Linked DNA regions of Drosophila melanogaster. The protein of the gene in region 2 interacts with the protein of the main gene of each other region in a pairwise test. Each region holds a gene or a part of one and is shown on either strand. Other genes may lie near its edges.

Evidence for each region.
Region 1: the proteins of Tbca (region 2) and vari interact in a two-hybrid assay, tested with the Drosophila melanogaster proteins (one large-scale study listed by BioGRID).
Region 3: the proteins of Tbca (region 2) and Lnk interact in a two-hybrid assay, tested with the Drosophila melanogaster proteins (one large-scale study listed by BioGRID).

Annotation. Positions count from the first base shown.
Region 1 is NT_033779.5:20,795,281-20,799,038, reverse strand, and holds the start of vari (varicose), read left to right. Parts: upstream 1-1,996; 5' UTR 1,997-2,280; coding exon 2,281-2,386; intron 2,387-2,904; coding exon 2,905-3,002; intron 3,003-3,758.
Region 2 is NT_033777.3:31,741,412-31,744,828, reverse strand, and holds Tbca (tubulin binding cofactor A), read right to left. Parts: upstream 1,340-3,417; 5' UTR 1,201-1,339; coding exon 992-1,200; intron 937-991; coding exon 813-936; 3' UTR 581-812; downstream 1-580. Other genes in the region: CG1896 (uncharacterized protein), read right to left, coding at 1-510; eEF1alpha2 (eukaryotic translation elongation factor 1 alpha 2), read right to left, coding at 2,560-2,919, 2,997-3,202.
Region 3 is NT_033777.3:25,886,864-25,890,621, forward strand, and holds the start of Lnk (Lnk), read left to right. Parts: upstream 1-1,678; 5' UTR 1,679-2,028; exon of another isoform or gene 2,029-2,202; intron 2,203-2,791; 5' UTR 2,792-2,914; coding exon 2,915-3,415; intron 3,416-3,758. Other genes in the region: SppL (signal peptide peptidase-like), read left to right, coding at 1-156, 248-368, 435-503.

The DNA.
Region 1 (3,758 bases), on a different chromosome or scaffold from region 2:
CATTAATCAGCATTGTGTTACCCTTTGTTATATTGTTAAGGTGCAAATTTCAAATCCATATTTCTCCATGTATAAATATATATTTAAATTGCTCAATTCCCAGCTGAGTCTGCCAATAGGTTGAGTGTTATTTTATATCAAAGGGCATTCAATATAAAACAATTCAAAACGTATCTGGGCATTTATATATTTAAAAACTGCGTTTATTTATGAGGTTTATATAAAGAAACAGTTTAAGAATAGAAAAATGTAATAAACTTCTGTTACCATGCCGACCATTTGGCACTCATTTAACCACTGTGCCTCTAAAATCAAGGACTCTCGATGGCTGAGCTAAATTTTTTGCACATTTGCGGGTTTCTTGCGCACAATGGTCAAAGGGGCGCGAATCAAACGGGGGCCTTGACTTTTGCACTTTTGGCGAATTTTTTTTACAGCAGGACATACAGCAAATCGGACGGAGGATAAAACAAGAACCAAAAAGAAAGATACAAGGCACAAATACCGAAAGACAAGTAACTCACCACGACGGGGGGTGTCGCCGGAGGTGAAGGTGGATAAACAGGAATTTCTGCCTGTTCTGTTTTGATTTTTCGCTATCTCTCTCTTTCGCTCAGCTGCTTCTGCTTCTTCGGTTTGTTTATGTGTAATCCTTTTGTTTCTTTCGATTTTGGCGCGCAATTTTCCTTTTTTTTATTGCTATTGTTTTAGTTGTTGCTAATTACTAATTTGCAATGCAATTTTTCAAAACACGCGAAGCCGTTTTGTTGTGGCCGTTGTTATTGTTGCGTTGGCCGTGTGATTGCGGTTATAGTTGTCGTTGCGTTGTTGTTGGTTGTTGCTAGTTGCTGTTGTTGCTTTTGCAACTTTTTCACAATTTGCATTTCACGTATTTTTGCAGCAGCTTCGACGACTTTGACTTTGTTGCACAAACACAGGCGGAAAAACGGCCACACACTAACGAACTGAAAACAACAAAACAATCCGAGGAAGCTGCTGGCGTCTCTTTTCCTTCGATTTTTTCCCAAGATTGCCAATCCGATTTTACTGCCTGATTTAGTGTACTTTCGCGAATCTATAGTTATTTCCGCAGCCAGTCATTCAAAAACGAAAATGTAAACGAAACAGTGGGTTTACATTAATATATCATCACATAAATATGGGTTTTTTTGAATCCCAAAAGCATCTCGTGTTACTTAGCGCGACAAATCGGTTTCCGACGTATACTCGTTCGCTGAGATGTTATTCCACAGTGGTATTTAATTTGTTTTTACTCTTCATGCGAGGAAAGCACCGTACGCGCACGCTGCTCAAAACGGAATGAAAACAAGAGCTGTCGCATCGTTTCAGCCGAAAAATACCGAAGCATGCTGAAACTTCGAAAAATACCGCAAGCGAGAAACGATGTTTTTTCATCTATGGCAAGTCGACGTCTATTACCCTTTCGATTAATAGAAATAAAATATTGCATATTTATTGAAGTAACGAAGTTTGTTGCATCCCAGAGTTTTGTTAAGGCATAAATAAAGTTCCATAAGCAATTTAAAGACTATTTAATTAAATTGATTTCTAATTGGCATATGAACGAACATTTATTGGTCGTCCAGTTTAGAGTACATATTTATGTACAAATCGAAGTAAATTTTTTATAATATTAACGCACGGTTTATCAATGGCACAAACCATCAGCGATTCCCAAGCCATCCATTTTTAGCTATGTTATAGCTATAGAAAAAGCAATCACAAGCAAAATTAAAGATAATAAACAATATTAAATTTAAATGGCCTGAGAACAGTGGAATGCATTTTTATGACAGGCTTTCGAACTCCGTACATAAAGTACATTTACCGTACCGACCCAACAAAGAAGTGGCGCCGATAAGCACAATATTTAAAAACCGATAGGCACACGTTATTTGACTTTTTGTCTGCAAAAGCTTTCTCGTTTTAAGGAGCTTTGATTTTGGCATCACCTGCAACAAAAGCGGTTTTCAGTTTAGTTAGCCTCTTTCTCACAAACAAGTCGGTTGTTTTTGCGCTGTTGGAGGAGTGAAATTCTTAGCCGCGCTATTGTTTTTGTTGTTTGCGTGGCGTTGTGTTTATAACAATAACAACAAGTGATTATCACTGGAAGACATGTTCTGTTCAAGTAGCTAAGCATATGGCTGGCTAAGAAAAAAAACACAAGGGTTATAACCCTTTTTTGGCCGAAATACGAGACTGTCCTCCGGGGTTACTTCATTCGGTCTGTTATTTTGGCCACCTCCCAGTTCCTTCAAAATGGTTCGGTGGAGCGCGCGGTCGCGGCGCCAAGCTCGCCAGGATAAAGTGGAGCTATTGGCCAGAAACAACAAAGTGAATGGCGAGGACGATACCTCCGATAACGGTACGTGCCAGGGGTGTCCTCAAAAGGAGAATTTTAAGCGAAGTTCATACGAAATTCCAAACTATCATTTTATTGTTGTTTCTTTTTCCTTTAAGGCTCTGTTAATAAAGTTTTAATTTTGAAGATTTCAGTTGTTTAAATAGTTAAAAGATTTACAAACTAAATATTTCAATTCATATTCAAAAAGTGAAACGAGACAAGAGTTATGTTGCATTTCAGTAAGCCTGCTTGAAGTAAATATAATGATTTGTACTCATAGCTAAGAATAATCTGAAACCTGTTTGAAGATATGCGGTCTTTAAATGTATTTACAATAAATCGATAACAAAGAATATGATTATAAAACGAAAAATCAGATGCATGTATATCTAAATATTTCCCTCTAGAATTCCATCATTGTATGAATTGTATGAATTGAAAAGGGTAGCATTAAGCTGCCAAAACGAATGTCATTTCATCTGTTTCCGATTGTCATTTAACGACTGCGATTAATCTAAAACACTTTCGCTCCGTTTTAGCCGCCTTTCGCAACTCGACTGACCTATCCGACCACGATGAGATCTTCCTCAAGGGATTGCTGCGTAGTAACTCCAACACGCCCCACAAGGAACTGATGGCAAGTAGACCAGAACATATAAACGTAAAAAGGCGAGAGAAAATATCTCTGTACAATTTCTGACCCACTTAAACGCCTTCGAGCATCTGCTCAATAAGAAAATTGCGCATACGGTTTTCCACCCATTTTCCATACCCAGCCACACACACGCACACACTTTCCACATTTGTGTTTACTTCATCGATGGCATTGCATGCTGATTTTTCGGTCTAGATAGAATTTTCCGGGCTGCTTGTATGTGCGTGTGTTTGCTTTTCTTATTACATCATTTTCCTTGCCTCCACAAGCGCCAAAAAGAAAAGAAAATCCTTCTGTATTTTAAAAGATTTTCTCGCTTTAGCCATGCACTGCAATTGTTTTTTTTTTTTTTTTTGACTTCGTAATGGCCCATTAGCACTTGCTATTTTATTTTTGCCTTCCTCTTTTGAGTTTTCGCACTAAACTTGACCTCTATTGCCTCGGCAGATGAGTTGCCTTTATGCAGATGGGAGGCATTTTATTAGATCATCGTGACATAACCATTGAAGTGGAAATTATCTTGACCCGACACATTTAGCGCCTCCTCGAAGGTTTCTTACGGTAAAAGAACTGCCAAAAAGTTTGTAGCCTAATCAAATTGTAAATATTATTTGCTGTTCCTGCGGCAAACACGCAGGTCAACTAGAAAAACAATGAGAGGCAGTTACAACCAAAATTAAAACGAATTTGTTGTGCTCTGTATACAAGAAAAATAACAAAATATTTTAATTAATTTTT
Region 2 (3,417 bases):
ATGGCCAGCTTGAGTCTCTTCTTGGACTCTGCGCCAAACAAGACGCATGTGGGTCAGTTTTTGGCAAAGGGCGGCTCTGTCTCCTCCACGAGACTCGCAAAGTTTCTCCAGAAGATCAAAGGTCTCCAAAATGGAGGCAGCATCGCGTTGTTTTCGCAGGGATATGTGCTTCGCTTGTTCCAGTGCGGTATTTCGGGGCGGTTCTATGGAGAACTTCTGTTCTGCAGCCTCAGATTTGACGGTTGCACGTATCACCCGATGTTGGCTTCGTCTATATAAGCGTCGCCGGCGTTTTCTTTGTTTTTGTTCGTCGACTACTTGTTGGCCCGGTACTTGGTCAAGTTCATCCAGCAGGGTTGCCGTGCTCCGCTGCAGCTCCTCCGCCCGGTGCACATCGAAATCGCGACCTGCTCCACAGCTCTGTTGCTCCAGTTGCCCCAAACTCGATATAACTTGCTGAATCTTGGCTTTAACTTCACTTAATCTATGCTTTTTGTGCGGCGGAGTCATCTTATTTTGGTTGTTGGTGTTGGTAAACGCCTGAAGGTGCACATTGGGGGTAGTTTTAAAATATTTAATTATAGATTATTATTTTTATTTAGCAAAAGTGAGGCGAACGCCACCAGCAACTAGGCGATTCCTTTTCAAAAAAATATAATGTTATTTTTTTAAAACAAACAAAGGGGAAGAGTATTAGCTCAGTATGTGTGGATTCAAGCCGCTCTGCAGCTCAGAGCTCGGAGATGGAATTGCCATCAGGAATTTGCATTAATGCTGACATTAGGGGCAGTGAATTAAGTTTTGGGGTGGTTCTAGGTCTCCAGTTCAGCTTTGGCATCTTTGAGGATCTCTGCTGCCTTCTTATACGAATCTGTCTCGATCAGGTCCTGCTCATCGGCGAGGTACTTTTCCAGTACCTCGTACTCCTTCTGCAGTCTGTGAAAGGAACGTCCCATTAGGCTTTTGAAGGGGGAAACGGAAGAATGCATACCTTCTCTTGGAGTCGGGCACCATCATGATGCACTCCTGGATGACCTCCTCCTGCTTGCGCAGTACGTGGTCGTCGGCTCCGTCGCCCCTGAGCTTCTCCAACCGCGCCTGCTCGGTCAGCACTTCCTTGGCGTAGCAGTACTTCTCCCTGGTCAACCGCCGGACCACTCCGGATTTAATCACCAGTTGCCGGATGCGGGGGTCTGTCATTTTTGTTGGGCTGCGTTCTACTGCGTTCGCCTATGAACTGAAGTTAGTGAAGCTCGACGGGGACTTCCTGGCATGAATCACAGTTAATTCGACTAAACTTCGAACAGCCGGCTGAGATTCGGAGTAGTTGGCAATGTAGTGCAGTCTTTGTTGTTTTTGTACAGAGCGCCCAGTGAGTCAGAGCCCAAACCAGGGCTGCCAACCTATCGGCGGAACGAGTAAAATGAACCACTCGGAACCGCCTTAATTTGAATTTCATTTTAAACTGATTTCATTTTCTTCATAGATATTCAAGTATTTTTCAATTAAAAGGCGTTCGTGTGTGGTATTTTACGGTTAAGCTTCCTTTATTTTTCTCATCATTTAAAAGATCTTTTATCAAGCAACATGTTCTGTATCCAAGAATTGTTCTGGTGTCGGTTACAATTGTCTTCGATTTGTATAAATTCAGAGTGTGAGATTAACGTGTATAATATGCAGGATGCAGGTTATTATGGGCAATGAGATGACATGTGGCTAACGTATATTATGTAATATGCAAATGCAAATGAGGCTCGATTAAACATTTATAATGTTTTCAAAAACCGCATGATTATGTGTGTAATGTTGATTTCTTTTTTGTAATACTTCTTAAGCATTTGTCTTTTGGTTTCAAGAGAAATTTTGAATTCATCGCGAATGTAGTCTTTTCGGTTCGGGGGATTTTTGGGAGCGCGGACGTGGTTTAAAACTAAATTCGGAAATTACATATTTCAATAGATTTTAAATCGAATGCCTCCGACTTGACTTATCAAAAGTATAAAAAGTGTTTAAAATCCATTCGAAACAGGTGGATGCGACCGGATGTGTGGCTGCTAATCAAGTGTAAGGTTAGTTGTAGAGATGAGTATATATCGAAGGGGCGGGCTACAGCAGTGCTCCGGAGGCCCCTATCCACTCTGCGGAGTGGCTAGCGGGTGGTTTCCTACGAAAGGACTTGCGGTGACGATACATGTTCAGATAGCTGCAGTAGACCACCACGGCGAAGGCGACCAAAACCGACCCGGCGAGCTGGAAGGGCTCCTCCTTCGCATCCTCGCTGCACCTGATGCTCCTCTCCTCGCTAATCGTACGTGTGGTTATTATATAGGGTATAATCTGCTCGATTTCGGTTAATATCTGCCGCTTCTCCCAGCAGCTAGTAATAGTAGTAATTGGTGTCTCTCTTGCCATGGAGTCAAGGTGTGATTTTGATCGTCGAGTGGGTATTATAATTTTGACATGTGTATTGTTGTTGTGTGTTGTTGCTGCTGTTGCTCTAGCCGTCTGTTTTTGTTGTTGTTGGGTTCGAGTGATGACGTTGTTCTGCTGGCACCCTAGTTATTTCTTCTTCTGTGCCTTCTCAGCGGCTTTTGTCACCTTGCCCGAGGTCGTCTCTTTAAAGTTCACCGACTTGATGACGCCCACGGCCACGGTCTGCCTCATGTCGCGCACAGCGAACCGTCCCAGCGGTGGGAACTCCTGGAAGCTCTCTACGCACAACGGCTTGCTGGGCACCAGCACAATGATGGCCGCATCCCCGGACTTGATAGCCTTCGGCTCCGTCTCGGTGGTCTTGCCCGTACGGCGGTCGCACTTCTCCTTGATCTCGGAAAACTTGCAGGCAATGTGCGCCGTGTGGCAATCCAAGACGGGAGTGTACCCATTGGCGATCTGGCCCGGATGGTTGAGCACAATCACCTGTGGGCAAAAAGAAAAAAAAAAACCAAACAAAGATGAGTTCAACTATCAAAGATTTCTCATCTTTGTTACCCTACCTGAGCGGTAAAGTCGGCTGCTCCCCTAGGAGGATTGTTCTTGGAATCGCCGGCCACATAGCCACGACGGAGCTCCTTCACGGACACGTTCTTCACGTTGAAGCCAACGTTGTCGCCGGGCATGGCTTCGGTGAGAGCCTCGTGGTGCATCTCCACAGACTTTACTTCGGTGACCAGGTTGACCGGCGCAAAGTTGACGACCATGCCTGAAACGAAACCGGAAACGAAGCGACCGAAACGAAGTTACATATCCGGACGTTATGTGTAGACATTTGGATGGGGGTGGGTGCATACAGAGAGAGAAACGTGGAGCGATATTATTCGAACTAACTCCAATTTATTTTTATTTGAATCAATAGCTCTACATATATTAATATGTTAGCTAGGGTTATTTTATTTTAATGGCCTTTCACTTTCATGT
Region 3 (3,758 bases), 5.9 Mb from region 2:
GGGCCTGGGTGATGTGGTGATGCCGGGCCTGTTGCTGTGCTTCGTCTTGCGGTATGATGCGTACAAGAAGGCGCAGGGCGTCACATCGGATCCCACATTGTCACCACCCAGAGGAGTTGGCTCCCGGTTGACATACTTTCATTGTTCCTTATTGGGGTAAGTTGTTGAATAAATGGAATGTTTGAGTATACGAAAAATTGCTTACTTATAAAAATATATATAAATACTAATTTCCATTACATTGCAGTTATTTCTTGGGCCTGCTAACGGCGACGGTCAGCTCCGAGGTCTTTAAGGCGGCCCAGCCGGCGCTGCTGTATCTAGTGCCCTTTACGTTATTGCCGCTCTTGCTGATGGCGTATCTGAAGGTATACTCCATGCTCGAATAGTTCCGAATTTGGTCGATATCTGTAATGTTTTGTTACTTGTTGCAGGGCGACCTGCGGCGCATGTGGAGCGAGCCGTTTATCGCGCAACAACCATCAAAACAACTGGAAGTCTGAGTGTACTCTATCTAAAAGCAAAGAAAAACAAAAAACCAACAGCATACAATGTGAAGAACACACACACATAAGATCTAATACTAACGTTTGTCTCTTAAATAACGTATTGAGTATGTATTTTTTAACTCAACTTAACTAAGTTTCGTTTTAAGTTAGGTGATCCTCGTTTTCATAGTGAAATAAAAGCAAAAACCGAGTAATTATAGTTTTTAGCCTAAGCGGAAAGGTTTTATATATTCACATATATATATACTTCATACGAGAGTTCATTCAAATTGGCTTTAATGTCTCCAATCATGCAGATAACTAGCGAGTAGAACAAAGGTCAAGCGAAATATTAGTTACTAACTAATAGGCATTACTAATAACTCTGTAAACCATAGCGAAAAGACTAGCAAGAAGACAGTTTGAGATTCGAATTTCAATCATACATCATCCACTCGAAATCTGTTCCGGGCAGTACGTTCTGTAAATACTTAAGTTATGTGTAATAATAACAAACCACCATGCAACAAATAATAGTTAGTAAGCTCGCCTTCATACACATTTAATCGAGATCCGTTTCCGTTTCACACGCTCATTTCCGTCCTTCGATTTTTTCGTTTTGTCACCCAATGTTTCCCACACATCTTCACAACCATAATGATGTTTTGCCAAAATGCATGTGTTCGTTGCAAACAATAAATCAATTAATAATGCTAGACGACAACTGTTGCACTGCGTGTGTTTCACAAAATTAAGTTTCAAGAATTTTAATTATTTACTATTAACGCAGCTAAAAATAAATAAATACTGTATGCATATGGAAACGATAGTTACATATTAATTTTAAGTAAATGCAATTTCGAAACGTATAGAAACAATAAAAATGTGAGATTTAAAACAACATTGCCTATAAGCGTTTTTTACAAAAATTGGAAGCATGTACGCTTTTTGTAATGTAGTAGGTAGATCTTTTTTGAAACCTTACATTTAAATGTTGGCGCCAAAATATTCCTAAGTTTCCCACCATTTTGCTTACCAAAGTTTACAACCTTGCGGTAATCGGGTTTTCTGTGGCGAGCGGTCACAACTTAGCGGGTAAATTCATGTTAGCGAGTACACACCTCCATTTAGCGGGGTTACGTTCCAGAAAGAACATCGATACAACAAATATCGATAGATATATACTATGCATATCGATTTTCGTCCGGCTCTAATTTTCACGGTCGAGGTTTTTTCGTTTTAAATCGCAAAAAACACAAACAAATCAGTGATAAATAATATTGCAACCAGACGGTAGCTCAAGCGGAACTGGCAACCAATGATTACGAATTAACAACAAACAAGTGTATGTGCACTTCAGTTATTGACTAACTCGCCACTTCCTTTTGCTCGCAACAACAAAACAACGCAAAAGAATATTTTGAGCGGATGTGCGTGTGTTTGTGTGTGTGTGCGTGTGAGCGAGATATCATGCACTTTGTGTAGAAAAATAAAAGCATAAAAAAGATGCCGAGCATTTAGATAATACTTAAACCGCAAAGTGAGTTATTTACATGTGTCGAGTGGCAAATTCAATAGTATTTTTGATTATATTATAAGCGTGTTCCACGCGCATATTGCGATGTGACGTAGGCGTGGAAATTCCTGTGGGAAATTTTTCACCACCGCGCCGCTGTGTGGGTGTGTGTGTCTGCCCTCGCATTTGTGTGAGTGGGTGTGTGTGGGCTACGCCGCAAGTTTGTTTTCGTTTACTTTTAATTGCCGAGAAAAAGGATTAATTGTGGCACTGAAAATGCGTGTTACTTAATGTAATGTGCAAACATGCGTAAATATTCATTACATAAATGCAAAATTCTTCAGTGTACATTGTTATGAACAAAAATATGTGCTTAAGTCTGGGCGCTTATCATTATATACATTGCATACCCGTGTTTTAAGAAAATATACCATTTTGCGCCATCAATAAGTCAGGCTGTTAAATAACTCAATAAACAGGCTTGTAAAATCAATATTGTGTTTAAATAGCAAGCAAAGCTAACTTTTTATTGTTTTGTTTTGGTCAGCACTTAATTCTTATCAAGTTTTCTAGAATTAAAGTTGCCAAAATTCCCCCAACTCGTTGAAAACCTTAATCCTGTGAGTCAGAGAATAGAAATAGATCGTTGCACATCGGCCCAATATATAATACATATAACAACTAAACTATAAATGCTTTTGTATTCTTCAAAGCGATCAGCAATGATCGCTGTTTTTGCGAAGTAACTCGACTAAACCGCGATCGCATTGTTTGTCTAACATTTCAGCGCTTTTGAAACGGACTCCAGCTGGGTAACTCGTGTGGCAAACTGAACCGGAACCGGCAGAGGCAGCGGCAGCAGGAGCAGGAGGAGGACCTGGACCAGCGGAACTGGCAACCACCTGGCCAAATGGGTGGCAATAGCACAGGAGCGAATACGAGCGCCTTCAGCGCTGGCGGTTACATTGGGCCCACGTCGGCCAGCAGTCATCACAGCCTGGGAACTTCATCGGCGGCAGCGGCAGCAGCAGCAGGAAGTGACCTGATACCCGCACCAATTGGCACGGGCAACGCCATGGGAGTGTCTTCGTATGCATACGGTGGAACCAGTTGGGAGGAGTTCTGCGAACGACACGCCAGAGTGGCTGCCTCGGATTTCGCCAAGGCGTGCATCACGTACATTAATGGCAATCTGCCGCCGGAGGAGGCGAGGAACATCCAGCATCGCAGCTTTGCTCAGAAATTTGTGGAATCCTTTTCGGCGCACTACGACACGGAGTTCTTCAAGCGGAGGAGCACTCTTAAATCAGGTGCGGGCTCGCTGGACTTCGAGGAGGAGCACGAGGTGCCAAAACTGCTCTCAAAGTCTCTATTAAGACGACTATCATTCAAAGGACTGCGCAAGGGCAAGGTGAGTTGATGCTCTTCTCAAATCCTCTCGAAATCATTGAATAGATTGATTTTTGATTATTTCGAGGCCACACTTGATGCTTATACTTTTTTTTTAGACATGATTGTTGTTTTCTGTCCGATAATACCCATTAAGAAGGTCACGAATCACGAACTAAAAGTATGCAGATAAAAGCATTCACTTTAGCATTCTTTGCATTCTGTCCATAAGTCCGATTAGACCTCACTGAAGTGGTATTATTATCTTCTATTTGATTTGTTGAATACGTCATGATTATCAGAACATGCTGTCAATTATGCAAGTCTTTCTTTCAATTTTGCAGATCATGAAGTATTTCACATTG